Rattus norvegicus: one gene and its partner. The protein of the gene in region 2 binds, or shares a complex with, the protein of the main gene of each other region. Links are inferred from orthologs where the notes say so. Each region holds a gene or a part of one and is shown on either strand. Other genes may lie near its edges.

Evidence for each region.
Region 1: Prpf8 (region 2) and Usp39 share a complex: the UniProt entries of both Homo sapiens proteins name them as parts of the U4/U6-U5 tri-snRNP complex. The link is inferred for Rattus norvegicus from reciprocal best matches to the Homo sapiens genes PRPF8 and USP39.

Annotation. Positions count from the first base shown.
Region 1 is NC_086022.1:105,938,392-105,948,070, forward strand, and holds part of Usp39 (U4/U6.U5 tri-snRNP-associated protein 2), read right to left. Parts: intron 7,373-9,679; coding exon 7,295-7,372; intron 3,298-7,294; coding exon 3,230-3,297; intron 2,487-3,229; coding exon 2,298-2,486; intron 1-2,297.
Region 2 is NC_086028.1:60,826,436-60,836,214, forward strand, and holds the start of Prpf8 (pre-mRNA-processing-splicing factor 8), read left to right. Parts: upstream 1-3,342; 5' UTR 3,343-3,412; intron 3,413-3,578; exon of another isoform or gene 3,579-3,603; 5' UTR 3,604-3,614; coding exon 3,615-3,714; intron 3,715-4,192; coding exon 4,193-4,361; intron 4,362-5,555; coding exon 5,556-5,720; intron 5,721-5,824; coding exon 5,825-6,043; intron 6,044-6,155; coding exon 6,156-6,368; intron 6,369-6,482; coding exon 6,483-6,608; intron 6,609-6,687; coding exon 6,688-6,793; intron 6,794-7,345; coding exon 7,346-7,536; intron 7,537-7,884; coding exon 7,885-8,004; intron 8,005-8,088; coding exon 8,089-8,278; intron 8,279-8,386; coding exon 8,387-8,506; intron 8,507-8,614; coding exon 8,615-8,749; intron 8,750-9,077; coding exon 9,078-9,207; intron 9,208-9,459; coding exon 9,460-9,656; intron 9,657-9,779. UniProt on the Homo sapiens protein: Plays a role in pre-mRNA splicing as core component of precatalytic, catalytic and postcatalytic spliceosomal complexes, both of the predominant U2-type spliceosome and the minor U12-type spliceosome.

The DNA.
Region 1 (9,679 bases), on a different chromosome or scaffold from region 2:
ACTTAGCAGCAGTGAAGCACCCTCAGTATTCCAAAGGACGTGGTCGTCGACTTTTCTTACACCACTCCTGCGTTAAAGACCTGTGCTGGGGTATAAGAAAACCCTGTGCTCAGCATATAGGAAGCACTGATGTATCTCAAACCAAAGTGCGCATCTGAGAAAAAAATCTTCTGGCTTTGTAAGCAGTCTAGTGGGTCACATGTCCTGTAAGCTCACTCTGCATGGCCCGAGGAGAAAGGGAAGGGCCAGGGCATCTGTCTAGGCCACGGGGTGTAAAGCTGGTGAACTGAGGTGCTTTTCTTTTCTTTTATGTGTTGCCTGTCTGTGAACCATGTGTGCCCACAGACACCAGAAGGCACCAACTCCCCAGAACTGGAGCTACATACAGATGGTCATAAAGCACCATGTGGGAGTTGGAAATTGAACCTAGGTTCTCACAAGAACAATACTCTCAATCCCAGAGCCATCTTTCTAGTACTGTGAATAGTTGTTTCTTTTTTTTTTTTTTTTGGTTCTTTTTTCGGAGCTGGGGACCAAACCCAGGGCCTTGCACTTCCTAGGCAAGCGCTCTACCACTGAGCTAAATCCCCAACCCAAATAGTTGTTTCTTAATACAAATTTTTTATCCTTGTCTGGGGATATAGCCCAGTAGAGCACTTACCTAGCATACATGAGGCCAAACCTTAGCATGGCAAAAAAAAAAAAAAAAAAAAAAAAAAAAAAAAAAAGTTCACATTTAGTTAAGAAATAGGAGTAAAAGAGTAATCATAAGCAGAAAGAAACAACCAAACAAGGCTTCCCTCTGAACTGACCAAGTTCTGAGGATGAAAACAGACTTGAAATCCACAAGTTGCCCAAGAAAATAGAAAATACTTTCAATTTATTACATGTGTGTGTGTACACTTGAGTGTGTGCATGAGAGAGAAAGAGAAAGGGGGGGGGATGTTGGATGAATGTGAGTGTGCATGTGCTACAATTCGCATCTGGAAGGCAGAGGACAATTTCCCGGAGTCCGTGCTTCCCTCCCACTATGGGCTGCATGCACTGATCTAGGGTCTCTAGGCTTACGTCCTAAGTGCTTTTACCTGCTGGGCCGTCTCACTAACACTTGAGAAAATGCTGGTTAACAATCAGAATGTGCCTTCTTCAAAACCATCGGACAATGGCCTTACTAACAGCAAACGAGAGACTCTGACTCTCTAAGTGAGGGACTACAGACCTGCTTCCTTTCCAAACAGCAGTCATTAGAAGGTCATCTAGTAACCTTTACAAAGGAAGGGCTTTGGTGCTTCCTCTAAAATGTTAGTAAAATAAAACGGAATAACTTGTCGAGAAAAATAAGGGTACGTGGCCAACACTGCCCCTCCAGCTCAGAAGAAGAAAACACTACTGCAAAAGAGTGGCGAGGGAACAGGGTCCCCACCCCACCCTGCCTCAGGAGACATCTTCCCAACAGACCAGGGTCATCATTTCCAATATTACCAACAATTTGTTCCTTATGAGTATGCACCCATATTATTAACAAAAATCAAGAGCAAATAGACATATTAAAAACAATTGTCAGCACTGGAAATGGTGGCCTACACTTGTAAGCCAGCACTTGAGTGTTGGAAGGCGAGTCAGGAGTCCAAGGTTCATTCTACAGCAAGTTCTAGGCTAACCTGGCTATATAAGTCCTAACTCAAAAACAAAACAGAATAAAAATAGTAAGTTTTAAAAGGTGAGATCTCTGTATTTACTGTTTCCAAACGTCTAAATTTCTACCGTTCTCTACAGTACTCAAAAGCAGGCATGAACCATGTAAGGAGCTCTACACCAACTGCTCTTCCAGAGGTCCTGAGTTCAATTCCCAGCAACCACGTGGTGACTCACAACCAGCTGTAATGAAATCTGATGCCCTCTTCTGGTGTCTCTGAAGACAGCCACAGTGTACTAATATGTAATAAATAAATAAAAATCTTGAATGAGTGAAAGAAAGAAGGAAAGAAGGAAAGAAGGAAAGAAGGAAAGAAGGAAAGAAAGAAAGAAAGAAAGAAAGAAAGAAAGAAAGAAAGAAAGAAAGAAAGAGAGAGAGAGAGAGAAAGAAAGAAAGAGAGAGAGCCCTAAACACCAGAAGCTGGGAGGCTTGAAAAAGACAACGCACTTAGAGAAAGTATATGAAATGTATGTGCTGACTCTGAAATATGAAAAGACAAGGCGGCTGGGAGTACCCTGTCTGTGGAGTGCTTGCCTTCTTCCAAGGCCCTGCTGTTAACACTGCGAAAGGATGAAAGTTAGAAACAAAGCGACTCAGTTACCTTCTCCGTGATGCCGTTGAACTTGGCCAGGATGTTGAAGAGTGGCACTTGCGGGATAATGAGCTGCTCCTTCTCGTCCTTATAGAGTGGAGCAGTGGGAAGGTCGAGCGTCAGGTACATGAACGTGGACTCCACCATTGTCTCTTGGTACTCCTCATTATGGAGCAGCTGCTCTTTCTCTTCCGCTGGCTGGAAAGGATAAGATGAGAGGATGAGAGAGGACAGGAGAGTGAGCATGGAGCTAACCCTCAGTGTGTGGGAAGAGATCACGGAGCTAACCCACAGAGGACATGGCGCTCCTGTGTGGAAGTGTACTCACACCTTCTCTAGTCTGGAGCCCAAGGAGCTGTATTCGAAACTACCACTGACAATGCTCATTCAGAAACTGGTGGCCCACGCATGCATGTGTGGTCATGAAACTGGAAAGGGATCACTGAACAGGAGGAGGGTGATTGAGTATTTGTGACATGAAGCAAAAAGAGGAACTATTTGTGGAGAAACCTTCCAGGAAGAGGGCACTGGGAACAGGGGACATCAAAAGAGGGATTAATTAGAACCAAGTATAGTGACATATGTGTTTAGAAACGACACAGTCACGCCCATTAATTTATTTATAACTTTTAAAGAAAAAATTGCTATTCACCTTCTGGTTTTATTTATATACCAGACCATTTGAAAAGTTCTCAGATTACAGAAGAACCTTGGCTGAGCCTTCTGGAAAACATACCAGTAACACTTAGTGGTCAGACCACTTTAGCCAACACAACCACAAACTCTGAGGCCACAGCACATTACCACAATAAGGCCAGGGCTGTGAGTGTTTTGTGGAACTTCTTCATGGTATACACTCTGTCCACTCTCTGTGCTCCTGTGCTTTCCCACGCCCCTGAGGTAGCATATAGCAAGCTAAAACTCTTGTTCTGGACACTCACCAGATCAGGATGAGGAAGCTTTTTGGTGAAAATTCTCATTGATCCCTGGAAAACATCATTCACAATAGCTGTACAAGTAAAGAATACAAAGTGTGTGAGGCCAGAAAGCACAACAGGCACACACCCCCAACTTCTAAATTCATTTCAGGTACAAACAAGAACCTCCTGGTGTAAGAATCAAGCTCTCTCTAAGCAAGGAGCCTCCCTTCATACCAGCTATCATCAAGGTGATGTATAATTATCTAATTACACTGTAGCTCTTCCACAGGATAGACACTCTTTCAACAGTGGGCTGGCTCATTTGAAATGAATGAGCGATTTACACATGCATATCGAGGAAGGGATTGAGGGAGGGGTGGAGGGAGAAGTGAGGGAAAGGAACACAGACAGACAGACAGAAGGACAGTGGTAGTGAGCATGAGTGCTGAAGAGCTGGCACAGAAGCTTAGAGCACTTGTTGCTCTTACAGAGAGAACCCAGGTTTGATTCCCAGCACCCACACAATGGCCCACAATCACCCATAACTCTAGTTCCAGGGGCTCCAATACCATCTTTTGACCTCTGAGAGCACTAGGCACACACATGAAACACAAGGCAAAAAGCAGGCAAATTATTCATGCATATGAAATACTTAATAATTTTTAAAACTATCAGTTAAAACTGGGCATAGAACTGGGTATGGTGGCTCACACCTGTAATCCCATCACTTGGGAGGTGGAAGCAGGAAGATCAATAGTTCAAAGGCAACTTCTATTACATGAGACCCTGCCTCAAAACAAGAAACTAAACTACAAAAAAATAAGCAGAGGGAGATGGTCTGATCAATATGGAGCTTCCCACCACACACGAAGACCTGGGTTTGATCCCCAGCACTGCATGCTAAACAAAGTCGGGTAAAGAGTCTTCACCTAATACCAGTCCTGAACCTCCACAGCACACTCGTGCACAAACACACGCGCACACATGCGCACACACACGGTGAAAAGCAGTTCAACCAAGACATTTCTCATAATCACACAGTACCTTCGAAGGGAGGCAATGCAGAACCCACATTGTACATGAGAAAAATAACCAACACAACACAGTAAACAAAAACCCAAGGAAAACTGCAAAGCTCACGGGCTCCTAGAATCCCAGTGAGACACAAGTTGGAGGCCTGAGAGAATGAGCATGGTTGAGTGTACCCCATAGATGGGGCAGAGCATTCTAGAGCAAAACACTACACTCCTTCACCTACGCTCCTTCACCAGCAAAGCCGTCAGAACACAGAGGACAAGAGAGCTGGGTGGGACAAGCCTATTCTCAGGCAGTGCAAACAGGAAGACTGGGAATGTGAGGCAGCCTAGGCAACATGGCAAGACCCTATCTCAAAACACACACACATACACACACAATCAATCAATGAAACAAAAAGGAAGAAAACTAAAGTGCATGATGTCTCCAAACACCTCGCTGGATCTGAAGTCTGTAAGCCACAAGCTACAGCTGGCGTTCAAAATAAACATCAACTGACCACTAAACCAAGAGAGGCTAAGTCAGAGGGACTTGCAGTGTGAGACTCTAAGAGGCCAGCTTTATGGCTCCAAGTACAGAGCCAGGGTCTGTTCTGCCATTCAGCTCCATTCTTCACCAGCTCTATGTAGTGCTGGCAGGAACCTAAGGACTAGAACATAATGACCCAAGTCTTCATTTTAAAATGGGTCAAGATTCCTAGGGCATAATTATATCCAGTTCTGACCTGTTAAAAAATGTTTTAGTCAATGGGTGGTGGTACTTGTCTTCAATCTCAGCACTTGGGAGGCAGAGGTAGGTGATCTGCGTGAGTTCAAGGCCAGCCTGGTGTTCAGAGCCAGTTCCAGAACTACACTGAAACACTGTTTCAAAAAAACAAAAACAAGGGGGCTGGAGAGATGGCTCAGCAAGAGCACTGATGCTCTTCTAGAGGTCATGAGTTCAATTCCCAGCACCCACATGGTGACTCACAACCATGGGATTCTGGCATGCAGGTGTACATGCCCATAGATCCCTCATACTGCTGCCGCCACTGCCGCCACCACAAAATGAGCTTCCCTGGGGCTTGTGACACCCTGACCTCTAAGGGCTCTTGTACTACACATGTGGAATACATAAACTCATGCACTGAGTAAATAAAACTTTAATCTGGGCAGGTGAGGGACTTTAATTGATAGCCAACACTATTAATGAAACAGAGTGCCATTTCAATAAGTGCATACAGAGTGCAATGAGGACAAGCTGAGACTAACTGGTATATCCATCTCTGAACATTCATCACTTCCTTGTGCTCAAAACATTCAAAATCCTCTCTATCTGCTACACCAACATATACAGTCAGTGCTGTCAACCACTGCTACTCTACTGTGTCAGAGACGTTGAGAGCTGCTCTTCCTGCTTATCCTTCTATCTGAGTCCATCCAGTCTCAGGCCTCAGGCAACCAGGGCTCTACTCTGAGCTGCTGGAAGGTCACTTCTGGAGTGATAGCACAGTCATGGCTTCTGTCTGGCTTACTTCACTTAACACAGCATCTTCCAGGCATTTGTGCTTGAAATACCGCTACGGCTAGGTGCGGTGGGGTATATCTGTAATCTCAGTATTTGGGAGGCTGGGTCAGGAGGATCATAAATTCCAAGCCCATCTGGGATACGCAGCAAGACTCTATTTCACTGGAATCAAGCAAATGATTCATGTCCATGAAAGTTACTTGGACAACTGAAGCCCTGTGGTAAACTGAGAAGAGCTGTGTATGCTTAAGAATGGGCACCAAGATCAAAACAGGGCCCTGTTGGGTGTAGCAGTCCTGGATGCCTCTTGGAGGAGGTTACATGTCAGCAGCAGTTTGCCAGAGTACAAAATGCATGTTGTAAGACTTTAAGGAAGTAGGCACTGGCAGGGCAAAGGTCTTGAGGAGGAATGTCTTGTGTTTGAAGACTAAAAACAAGATGGAGTAGTCAGAGGGCCAGAGGAGGGGAGATAGTGAGGAGCAGGAAGGAGGAGAAGGGGAAGCAGGGGAAGCTGAAAGTGGAGAGGCCGAGAAGTGAGAGAGCGGGAGGAGGAACAAGAAGGAAGAAGAGGCAGAGACATGGGAGGAGGAAGAGGAGGAAGAGGAAGAGGAGGGGGAAGAAAGGGATGAGGGAGAGGAGGAGGGAGGGGATGAGAAGACACAGGCACCTGACGGGCAGGGTGGGAGTCTAGAAAGCAGAACATCTGACTTCCACTTTAAGAAGGGGCATCCCTGAAGAGATGGACAAACAAGCCCCGCAGCCTCCCCTTGCCCTCTCTCACCTCCACTCTAACCCATGCATGCTTGCCCGTTCTAGACCCTAGACTCCCTGGGGTTAGGACTGAGCCTAACTCTTCTCCTACCTCTATGCTATGCTGGTGTCCTGAGCACTTTTATGCTTTTCCACAGTGTCAAAATTCACTGACTAATAAATTCATACAGCATCTCAAAAGAAAAGAAAAAGACTGTATTTCAAAGATTAAAAAAGAAAGAAAGAAAGAAAGAAAAAGATAAAACAACAAAAACTAGGGAAAAATAAGCTGAGAATATAACCATACTCTAACACAACACAGAGCAAGGTCTATTAAGCCTAGTGCAGCCTAATTGTAATCCCAACATTTGGGAGGCAGAAGCAGAAGGATCAGGAGTTCAAAGTCATTTGAGCATGGAAGAAACTAAGACAGGAAGAACCTGAGTTCCAGGATAGCTCCAGCTGGCTCGGGCAAGACTTTGTCTCCGATGAGGAAGGTAGATAACACACGCTAACCCCCACTTGTTCCCACCCCAAAGGAAAGAATGAGAAGTGGGCTGGGCGGTGGTGCATACCCTTAATGCCAGCACTCAGGAGGCAGAGGCAGGTGGATCTCCAGGCCAGCCTGGTCTACAGAATGAGTTCTAGGACAGCCAAGGCCACATAAAGAAACCCTGTCACAGAAAAACAAACAAACAAACACAAATGAAAAGGACAGAAGTTATAAAAAGTTTTTTAGTGAGAAAAAAAAGAAAGAAAGAAAATAGGGCTCTTTTGACAAGCATCATGACTTACTCTTTTTCTTCTTCTTGGTGCCTCCCAGAGCTGAGTGCAGAGCATTCAGAAACCAAGACAGGAAGTCAACTCCATCCCCTGGGAAAAAAGGAAAAGAACACGCTGAAGCTCAGAGGCAGGAAAGGAACCAACATGCACTGGCTGGCCTCCTCATCCTCTCCGGCTACTTGTCACATACCCATACTCCGTGCATCCTCCTCTACCTGACCACAAACACCCACACTCCTCAAGGTCAAGCTTACTCTTCAGCCTTCTCTTTCTCTCAAGGTACTTTGGTGACCCTGTCATCATCCAAATGTATCTCATCACCCTGTGATAACAATGAATGAAGACCTTGTAACATCCACTTCTTCAAAGTGGCTCTGACTTCCTCCTTTCCCTACCTTATAAAGACTCTCATGTCTCAGGAAGGTGACTTCTGGTGCTAGTATTAAAAAAGGCATCTAGGGCTGGAGAGATGGCTCAGTGGTTAAGAGCACTGACTGCTCTTCCAGAGGTCCTGAGTTCAAGTCCCAGCAACCACATGGTGGCTCATATCCATCTGTAATGAGATCTGGTGCCGTCTTCTGGTGTGTCTGCAGACAGCTACAGTGTACTCATATAGAATAAATAAATCTTTTCTTTTTAAAGGCATCTACTGTAGAACAAGGGATGCTGGGAACAAGCAGCATTCCTGGCCCTTGATAAGAGTGCCTACGGTGAGACTAACTGCCTCCCTCTCAAGTATTTCTCACCTAATGTCTCTCTCCATTTACTTCCTCTCTGCTCATCTAGTTGAAATCTCTAAGTCTGTATGATCTTCTTTAACTTCATCTACCTGATTCCAAAGGCCTGACAACTCTATAAATCACTTTCCTCCACACACCCCACCCTTTAATTACAACCATAGCAAAAACTACTCCATAGACACCACATACATCTAAGCAACTGACAATACCCATGTCTCAGACACTTGAGAAAACTGTGCTTCACTGACAACACAAACTATGCTATGACAGAAGAAACTAGGCAAGCATAAGTTTATTCTTAGAGTTAAGATTTTTCTGCAATTCTCTAACCAATTAAGCTTTAACTTTGCAAAGCTGTTGAAAGCTAAAGGGAAGACTGATAGATACAACCAGCCATGGCACAAAAAATAGATTTCTCTACAAAAATATTGTATCTTGTTGCAGCCTTGACATAAAAAACGAAAGAGTCCCTGGTTGCACAGAGGACCTGAGTTCAGTTCCCAGCATCCGCAGTGGACTGCCTACCACTGCCTGTGACCCTAGCTACAGGGGATGCAACACCTTCTTCTAGAATCCAAGAACACCTGCACACACATGCACATCTGCCCATACACACATTTAACTATGCACACACATGCACATACCCACCTGCCTATACACACACTTAAAAATAAAACAAATCTTAAAAATCAAAAGAGGGGTTGGGGATTTAGCTTAGTGGTAGAGTGCTTGCCTAGCAAGCGCAAGGCCCTGGGTTCGGTCCCCAGCTCTGAAAAAAAGAAAAAAAAAAAAAAAATCAAAAGAACCTCAGAGTTGGTCCAGAAACAAAATGACTTATGAATCTAGATGTTGGAATCTGATGGTTCTAGAACAGGAGGTAGTTGTCCCCGTTCAGAAGTGTAAGGTGTTACTGGCCTTGTTGCAAACTGTGAAACACTGTGCTAAGGCTTAGTAACTTCTGCTCAACTGGGAATAAATCATGGGGTTCTGATCAACATATACTGTCCATTCCCAAGTGAACCATTCTCTCCGTTATCCTAAAATCCTAAACCCCAAGAGTATCAGCCGCTCCTTATCTTCTTGTCATTCCCTAGTGCTCCTTTCCTTGACCTCCCGAGACTCTGAGAGACAAGCATGGTGGCACATGCTTTTATTCCAGCACATAGGATGCAGAGGCTGGTGGCTCTGTGAGTTCCAGGCATGTCTGGCCTACACAGTAAGATCCAGGACAGCCAAGGCTGCATAGTGAGACCCTGTCTTTGTACAAAAAAACAAAAGAAGGAGGAGGAAATCAAAGAAAGAAAGAGAGAGAGGGGGCGGGGGAGATGTGTGGAGAGGGCTGGAGACGGCTCAGCACTTTAGAGCTCCTGCTGCTCTTCAGGTGAACCCAGGTTTGTTTCCTGGTACCCACATGGCAGCTAACAACTGTCTATAATTCCAGTTTGTGGGGAATCTGACCCCTCTTCTGGCCTCCTCAGGTACCAGGCACCCATATGGTACACGGATTTATACATTCAGGCACAACACTTACACACATAACATAATAAAATTTTTTAAAAAGCAAGTCACTGAACTTTCCCTCTATTTAAGTAATTTATCAGAATAATGGAGTTTTAATTATATTTTTGGATTTTGAGGAAAAGACCTCATAAAGCTA
Region 2 (9,779 bases):
TTAACACTTTTGCTGGGTGGAGATGGACCAGATCTTTAATCCCAGCTCTCAGGAGGCAGAGGCAGTAAATCTCTTCATTTCAATGACAGTCTGTTCTACATAGCAAGTTCCAGGACAGCCAGGACATTTCTCAAGACAACAAAATAAAAGATGGTTTAACATTTTTTTTTCTTTTTTTCGAAGCTGGGGACCGAACCCAGGGCCTTGTGCTTGCTAGGCAGGCGCTCTTCCACTGAGCTAAATCCCCAACCCAACAACTTTTAAAGAGATTGATTTGTTTTTATTTTATGTATTTGTGTGAGTGTCTGTGTTTGTGCACCACATGTAGACAGGTGGCTATAGAGGTCAGACGCGGGTGTTGGATTGTCTGGAGCTGGAGTTACAAGTGGTTATGAAATGCCCTGTACTTACCTAGGAAGCGCAAGGCCCTGGGTTCGGTCCCCAGCTCCGAGAAAAAAAAAAAAAAAAAAGAAATGCCCTGTAGGAGCTAGGAAGGAAAGCCAGGCCCTCTGCGAGATCAACAAGTGCTGTTAACCACCCTGCCATCTCTCGATCTTCAGAGAATGTGTTATGCATAATCATAGTATGACAGTCAGACTGGAAAACTGACGTTCCTATAATACTATTAATGAAACTACAGACTCTCCTGGAACATTACCAGAACATGGAGCAATGTCTACCACATAGTGACATTCACTGCAAGGACTTTACAATAGTGACCATGATAACATTGACGCGAAACTTGCTACCACTCCCGGGTGTGTCTGCCGGCTGTTTCTAAGGAGTAATATTAGTTTCTGTCCTAACTTTGTTCCTTCTTTTCCTCCCTCCCTCTGCTATTTCTTCTTACTCATCTTCTACTTTGCACTCCTCTCTCCCTCTCCTCTTTTAACAGAGTCGTGCTATGCAGCCCAGATGCCACCTCTTGCCTCAGCCTCCCCAGTGTTGGAAAATACTCTTTCCACAGGTTCATGCTAGGAGTCTGGAAACAGCTTGATGGTAGAGGGACCCTGGGTCAAGTCCTGGGCTCAATTCTTTTCTTTTCTTTCTTCTTTTTTTCGGAGCTGGGGACCGAACCCAGGGCCTTGAGCTTGCTAGGCAAGCGCTCTACCACTGACCTAAATCTCCAAACCCCTGGGCTCAATTCTTAACACTGAGAGAAAGATAAACACAAGAGTTCTATTGTAGCCTTTCGATTGTAACAGTTCTGGCCACCTGGAATTACTTTGTTTCTGATCTTTTACTCCGGTGGAATCCTTTTCATCCACCTTTTTTCATCAGACAGAATACAGACCCTCCTTGCAATACTTGGAAATGCTCTACTGCCAGTTACATCCTCAGTCCTGCTCCTATATTTTTTCCAACCTTCCTTCTAAGGCCTTTATAGGTTCATGATTTACACTGAACAGTTTTTGTCTATAGCATGTTATTATTGCCTGATAGAGGAAAGAGAAGAGAGAAAAGAAAGTCATTACCAATGAAATCCCCCAGAGACATTTCTAAGTTTTCTAGGTTATCTCTTCCCATCTTCCAAGGAAAAACTGTTATTTTATTTTAGCTTTGATACAGTCTCTCTATGTATCCTTGGCTGTACTGGAACTCTCTATGTAGATTAGGTTGGCCTCAAAAACACAGAGATCACCTGCCTCTGCCTCCCAAGTTCTGGGATTGCTATCCTGACTGGCAGGGTTTTTATTTTTATTCTTTATTTTATTGTTTGCTGTGCCAGGCATTAAATCTAGTACCTTACTTAGAATAAGCAAGCATTAACCTCAGAAACCCTGACCCTGAAGTCATTAGCATGCTCTGCTACAAGCTCTACAAGAATCTTTAGGGAGGTTGGGAATTTAGCTCAGTGGTAGAGCGCTTGCCTAGCAAGCACAAGGCCCTGGGTTTGGTCCTCAGCTCCGGGGGGGGGGGGGGGGGGGGAAGACAAGACAAAACGAATCTTTAGGGTTTGGGAGAGATAGCTTAGGGGTTAAAAAGATTTATTGATTTTGCAGGGGACCCCAATTCCTGGTACCCAAGTGGTGGATCATATCTACCTCCATTCCAGGGAATCTAATGTCTTCTTTTAATCTCTCTGGGTACCAGGCATGTTTGTGGTGCACAGGCATACTATGTGAAGGCAAAACATTAATCCATATATTTTTTCTTTTTTCTTTTTTTTTTTTTTGGAGCTGGGGACCGAACCCAGGGCCTTGCGTTTGCTAGGCAAGCGCTCTACCACTGAGCTAAATCCCCAACCCCAATCCATATTTTTTAAAATTAATTTTTAAAAACTATTATTTGGTACACTTTGTTTTGTTTTTGAGGTGTGGTCTTATGTAGCAAAGTTTGGTCTTAAACTCTACAAAGCCAAGGAAGAATTTGAATTTCTTTTTGAAAAAATATTATTTTATGTATATGGGTGTTTGGGTTGCATGTATGTGCACCATGTGTGTTCTGTATCTGCAGAGGGCAGTAGAGGGATCAGATCCTGTAGAATCAGAATTACAGGCAGTTGTGAGGCACCATGTGATTGCTGGGAACCGAACCAGGTTCTCCGGAAGAACAGTCAAGGCTCTTATTCATTCAGTCATTTTTCCAGGCCCAGACTTTTTTTTTTTTTCTTTTTCTTTTTTTCGGAGCTGGGGACCGAACCCAGGGCCTTGAGCTTGCTAGGCAAGAGCTCTACCACTGAGCTAAATCCCCAACCCCCAGGTCCAGACCTTGAATTTATGATCATCCTGTCTTTACAGCTCCCTGTGCCCCACCTCCACTACCCAGTGTCCCACGAGTGCTGAGATCCCTAAGGTCTATGCGTTGCCAGAAATCGAATGAACCAAGGGCCTCCTGTACACCGTACTCTGAGGTTCATTCCCAATCCAGATCATACATTCTTGCCAGACTTCCTTCTGCTTTGGACGTTCCAAGAGTTATTTGACTCTTTGGTACACAGTGAGCACTCTTAACCATAATATAACGAAGGAATAAAAGAACAAAGGATTCATTGAGTAGGAGCTAGTACTGCATATCAGCTCTGAATTCCTGAGAGTAAATACAAGAAAAATGTGCAACGTAGGCAAACTTATTAAAATTGTTATGGCTTTGGCTTTTGGGGAGCAATGTTAAAAGCCAATTAAATGTCAGTTCTATTACAGGCCTCCTAAACCAAACTGACTGGCGGAAGGCGGGGCGTGAGTCTACCCCGGCCCCACCCCTCGCAGTGAAATCCGCTTTTAGACCCGCCTCCCCGACGCGAATTTTACCGTCAATTGGGGTTTTCGCTAATCCATCGAAGCATCTCGCCTCCTATTGGGTGAGCTTCTGAACCTGGTTGCGCACTTCCTGGAGTTGGGAACGCGGAGCGGACGTCGTCTTTCCGCCATTGCTCTGCGAGCCCTGCCGCTACCTAAGTGAGGGACGACAGGTGGGTGGCGGGCGTCTGAGGCTGGGCTGCAAGGCTGTCGAGTGGGCCGAGCGGCCGAGAAGCTGCGCCAGGCCCGGGTCGCGAGCTCTCAGCCCGGCTAGGGTGCAGGCCAGGGCACGCCGGACGTGTTCCATCTTTCTCTTCTGGGCCCGGGCCTAGCTGATTCGTATTGGCTTGCCTCTCCATCCCAGATTCTCCCGGCATGGCCGGAGTGTTTCCTTACAGAGGGCCGGGTAACCCGGTGCCCGGCCCTCTAGCCCCGCTGCCGGATTACATGTCAGAGGAGAAGCTGCAGGAGAAAGGTGAGAGGCGAACGGGAACGGCGCGCGCGGGCTCGAACGTGCAGGCGGATTTCATTTCTTCCCTCTGTAGGCAGGTCATCAGGGGTGTACTTATTAGCAGTATTTACACGTTTTAAAATGTGTTTAAATCATTGAAGGTTTGGAAGCGTCTGTTATTTGCAGGAAGCTAACGTGCGTGCGTGCGTGCGTGTGTGTGTGTGTGTGTGTGCGCGTGTGTATTGTGTGTGTGTGTGATGCGTCAATGGTGACAAAAGCTGTTCCTTTATAGGGATTGCATTACTCTGAAGGGATTAGACAGCAACCCTTCCCTAAACATCAATAGCAAAAATGTCAGGTGTTTTGGGGTAGTAAAATGGCAGTATACTTATCAGTGAGTAGTTCTCCTCTTCACAGCATGCTGAGGGCTACCCCAGGGGCAAGAGTTGGGGGATAATTAGGGTGAATGTGGGCAGCCCTTTTAACTGAGATGCTTTTATAGCTCGAAAATGGCAGCAGTTGCAGGCCAAGCGCTATGCAGAGAAGCGGAAATTCGGGTTTGTGGATGCTCAGAAGGAAGACATGCCCCCAGAACATGTCAGGAAAATCATTCGAGACCATGGAGACATGACCAACAGGAAGTTCCGTCATGACAAAAGGGTCTATTTGGGGTAAGTAACATCCCAGGATAATTTCATATGGAGTTTGGCTTCTTTCCTTTTTCGGCCCCTTCATTGACAGTGTTGGATAGAGGGACTATGGTTTGGAACATGACTTTTTAACTGAGACACAGTTTCCTTGTGTGGGCCTTTCTGCCCTGGAATTAGCTCTGTTGACCATGCTGCTCTAGAATCCACAGGGATCCCCATGCCTCTGCCTCCTAAGAGCTGGGATTAAAGGCAGAGACCATCATGTCCAGCATGGAACATGGCTGTAGACTTTACATAGGATGTTTGTAGAAGTAAAGCCAGGACCACTGGGATTCGGTGATAATTGCCAAGTCTTCTACTTATTTTTGCTTTGTTTTGTCCTGCTGATGTCATTGTTAAATACTATTATTGTTGAACTGTTTGAAGCTCAAGATATGACACACTCTGGATGCTTTTTGGTCACTAGCATTTGGGAGTTTAGGATGTTTAATTCCTGGAGTCTCTCTTACTACTTCTGCAGCAGTAATTGGTAACCAGTGTGGTAGTGTTTGGACGTAATGTCGGCACTGGAGCTGCAGGAGCAGGACTGTCACAGGCTTGAGGCCAGCTCAAGCTGCTCCGTGGAATGCTCCATTAAAAACAACAACAAGAGCCAGATTGGTGGCCAGGCATTTAGTCTCTGTGCACGGGAGACAGAGACAGGAGAATGAATCTTCTGTTCTAGACTGAGTTTCAGGCCAGCTAGGGCTATATAGTAAGACCCTGTCTCAGACAACAACAAACATCATCATCATCATCATCATCATCATTATTATTATTGAAACTTGCTTTTGGTCCTCAATGGATAGACCTTTCCTTTTAGGAGTTTAAGTTTAGTGGCATGGTAAATGAGAGACAAATGGTCACTGTGTAGAGCCATGAATGTGCTGGTATTTACAGGAAGGGCAGAAGGAAGTTGCTTTCAAAGGGACAGGTGTTGGTTTATACAGGCTGATTCCCACTATTGTGGAACTAAGACATTTAAAAGGGAGAGTGGTGTTAGATGGAGATGAGGAGGCCATACTGGAAGTCATGTAGGATCTGCGTCCTAATTTGGGGCTTTGGAATATAAGGCAGCATTTTGTATGGAACACGTGATAACTTTATGGCTTGTCAGCAAGGGACAAATGATGAACACTTAGTTGTTTCTAATTGTTTCTCCTCCTTGTGTTGCAGAGCTCTCAAGTACATGCCTCACGCAGTTCTCAAGCTCCTAGAGAACATGCCCATGCCTTGGGAGCAGATCCGGGATGTGCCTGTGCTGTACCACATCACTGGAGCCATTTCCTTCGTTAACGAGATTCCCTGGGTTATTGAGCCAGTTTACATCTCCCAGTGGGGGTGAGAAGGGCTGAAGTGTGGGGGGAGGTGGCATCTGGTGGGGTGTTGTGGGGGCGGAAGTATTGGCAGTTGAGATCAGTGGGCATGATGCTCTTGCCTTATAGGTCAATGTGGATCATGATGCGTAGAGAAAAAAGAGACAGGAGGCATTTCAAGAGGATGCGTTTTCCCCCTTTTGATGATGAGGAGCCGCCCCTGGATTATGCTGACAACATCTTAGATGTCGAGCCACTGGAAGCCATTCAGCTAGAGCTGGACCCTGAGGAGGATGCCCCTGTGTTGGACTGGTTCTATGACCACCAGCCATTGAGAGATAGTAGGAAGTGAGTGGAACTAATTTCTGTGAGAGTTCTGGAAACAGGAGCTGTGGGAAGGCCGTAGGTAAGAGGCTTGGCTCAATGCCTACCTGATGTGGGCCCTCCATCTTTTCCCTAGGTATGTTAATGGTTCCACCTACCAACGCTGGCAGTTCACATTGCCTATGATGTCCACTCTCTACCGACTGGCCAACCAGCTTCTGACTGACTTGGTAGATGACAACTACTTTTATCTCTTTGATCTAAAGGCCTTCTTTACCTCTAAGGCACTCAACATGGCCATTCCTGGGGGACCCAAATTTGAACCTCTTGTTCGAGACATCAACCTACAGTAAGTTGAGAAAGTATCAATTTTTAGGTACCTCGTGTGTGTTAAAATTTAAAGTTTACCTTAAGATCCTGTATAACAATGGAACTAGACTACTCACTTGACTTTGTGTTGTAGGGATGAAGACTGGAATGAATTCAATGATATTAACAAGATCATCATCCGTCAGCCTATTCGTACTGAGTACAAGATTGCTTTTCCGTACCTCTATAACAACCTCCCACACCATGTCCACCTGACCTGGTAAGATGCTCAGAACACAGCAGTTAGAAAGGGGAAGGCCAGAACACAAGAACAAGTTGGCTGACTCTTTTTGTTATAGGTACCACACTCCTAACGTTGTGTTCATCAAGACTGAGGATCCTGATCTGCCAGCTTTCTACTTTGATCCTCTGATTAACCCAATCTCCCATAGACACTCAGTCAAGGTAAGAGGAAATCACATGCTCTGGAGGGTAGCGAGGAATGAGAGTCTTGGAGATTGAGCTTGGGGTCTTATCCATGCTAGGCAAGTTTTCTGCTACTCAGCAGCCTATGCCCCACTTTTTTCTTTTTGGACATGTAGTGTAGGTTAGCCTAAATTTACTGTGTAGTGTAGGTTAGCCTAAATCATTTACTGTGTAGTTTCAGGTTGGTCTTGCTCATTCAGTCTTTCTGTCTTAGCTTCCTTCTACATACTGGGGTTTCAGGGCTCCTTCCTCAAGCTCAGGAGTTTTGACAGGAACTGATTGCAGTGGGTACTTCTGTAGTATGGTGCTGGAGCTCCTTTGGGAGGCTTTGGGTGGTAAGCAGGTGGGTTGACTTCCTGCTTGGCTCTCGTCTCTACTCCCTTGGCTCCTTTGTCTAGCTCTTTAGGCTTCTTTTACAGGCATCCATTTCATGGCATGTGTAGACATTATGCTTGATCCCGAGAGTTTTCTGCTCATCTCAGCTTTGCGCTCAGTGAGTGGGAAATGAACCCTTGAGGACTTCTTTTTCAGAGCCAAGAGCCACTACCTGATGATGATGAGGAGTTTGAGCTCCCAGAGTTTGTGGAGCCCTTCCTGAAGGATACACCTCTCTATACAGACAATACAGCCAATGGCATCGCACTGCTCTGGGCACCACGGCCCTTCAACCTACGCTCTGGTCGTACCCGCCGGGCCCTCGACATTCCCCTTGTCAAGAACTGGTGAGGTTTCTCCTTAAGGGGTAGTAGATGTACAGTACAGGAGAAAAGGCTGTGTGGTGTACAGTATAGGAGAGAGGCTGGGTGGTGTACAGTATAGGAGAGAGGCTGGGTGGTGTACAGTATAGGAGAGAGGCCGGGTGGTGTACAGTATAGGAGAGAGGCTGGGTGGTGTACAGTATAGGAGAGAGGCTGGGTGGTGTACAGTATAGGAGAGAGGCCGGGTGGTGTACAGTATAGGAGAGAGGCTGGGTGGTGTGCAGTATAAGAGGAAAGGCTGGATAAGTATGCAGCCTTTGCAGAGTGTCTGGAGGATGGGTGGGCAAGGCTCTGATGGGCTTATTTAACCAGGTATCGGGAGCACTGTCCTGCTGGGCAACCTGTGAAAGTTCGAGTCTCCTATCAGAAGCTGCTTAAGTATTATGTGCTGAATGCCCTCAAACATCGGCCTCCCAAAGCGCAGAAGAAGAGGTAAGGTGCTGAAGGCCCCTGCTACACCTTGTGTTCCAAAAATGTCAGTATGTCACTTTAAGTTTCTTCTTTATTTTTACCCAGGTATCTGTTTCGCTCTTTCAAAGCTACCAAATTCTTTCAGTCTACCAAGCTGGACTGGGTGGAGGTCGGGCTGCAGGTTTGCCGCCAGGGCTACAACATGCTTAACCTTCTCATTCACCGTAAGAACCTCAACTATCTGCATTTGGACTATAACTTCAACCTGAAGCCTGTCAAGACGCTCACCACCAAGGTGCCTGTCTGGGACCTCATGGCTCTGACGTGCTTAAGATGGATGGCACTGTGGGATACCTTCTGTGGCCACTCTCATTAATATTCCTTGTGTTCTTGGACTTTTCAGGAAAGAAAAAAATCTCGCTTTGGGAATGCTTTCCATCTGTGTCGGGAAGTACTGCGTTTGACTAAGCTGGTTGTGGATAGTCATGTGCAGTATCGCTTGGGCAATGTAGATGCCTTCCAGGTGAGGCCATGTTGCCTGGACCCCTGCCTGGATGGAGAGATGGGGCGAAGCCTGTGCTGGCTCTGGAGCTGGCTCCGGCTCTAAGGCTAACGGGTGACTTTATTGCAGCTGGCAGATGGATTGCAGTATATATTTGCCCACGTGGGACAGTTGACAGGCATGTATCGATACAAATATAAGCTGATGCGGCAGATCCGCATGTGCAAGGACTTGAAACATCTCATCTATTACCGCTTCAACACGGTGAGACCCTGCCCTCAGTGCCAGCCTTCACATACTCTTGCTTTTTCTTTGCAGTTAGAGCTCTTTCCTAGGATCTCCTTGGAGAGACTCTTGAATATGTCATTACTATACTCCATGAATGAATCTTAGCACTTCACTTACCGCTGAATCCATGCAGGAGCCTCCCTATCTGCGTCCCTATTCTAGACCGGGAGGACTCAGATAGCGTTTACCCTATCTCCATGGCAACCTGATACATGTTCTGCCTTCTTCTATCCAGTTTCCTTCCTGTCATTTTTCTTTTTAAAGGAATTGTCCATTTATGTTCTTGGTTTCTACTTGACTGTAGGGTCCTGTGGGGAAAGGCCCTGGCTGTGGTTTCTGGGCTGCTGGCTGGCGGGTCTGGCTATTTTTTATGCGTGGAATTACCCCTTTGCTAGAACGATGGCTAGGCAACCTTCTGGCCCGACAGTTTGAAGGTAAGTGGTTTTCTTTATCCATGCTTGTGTGCCTCAAGTTCTGTGTCTTTGTGTTTGTCATCGATCCTGAGTCTGTTTTAAATGAGTCTGTCCTACTATTCTGGCTCTTGGGATGCTCGCTAGGACTTTGAGCCATCATGTGTTTGTATGTTTGTGACTATCTGAGGTGGCTTGTCTTTTTGTATGTGTGGATCATATGGGAACGTGCTACTATTTATTGATTTCATCTCTGGGCTGTCCCTTCACTTCTAGGCCGTCACTCAAAGGGGGTGGCAAAGACAGTAACAAAGCAACGAGTAGAGTCCCATTTTGACCTTGAGCTTAGGGCAGCTGTGATGCATGATATTCTGGACATGATGCCTGAAGGCATCAAACAGAACAAGGCCCGAACAATTCTGCAGCACCTCAGTGAGGCCTGGCGCTGCTGGAAGGCCAACATTCCATGGAAGGTAGGCTTTCCTCCATCTCCATTTCCTTTCATCCTTCTGATGTTAGGATTGCCACATCCTCAGAGGGCTGTTCACCTTCTGTTATCCCCTACCCTCCTTGAGACAGTCTCACTGTGTTGTCCT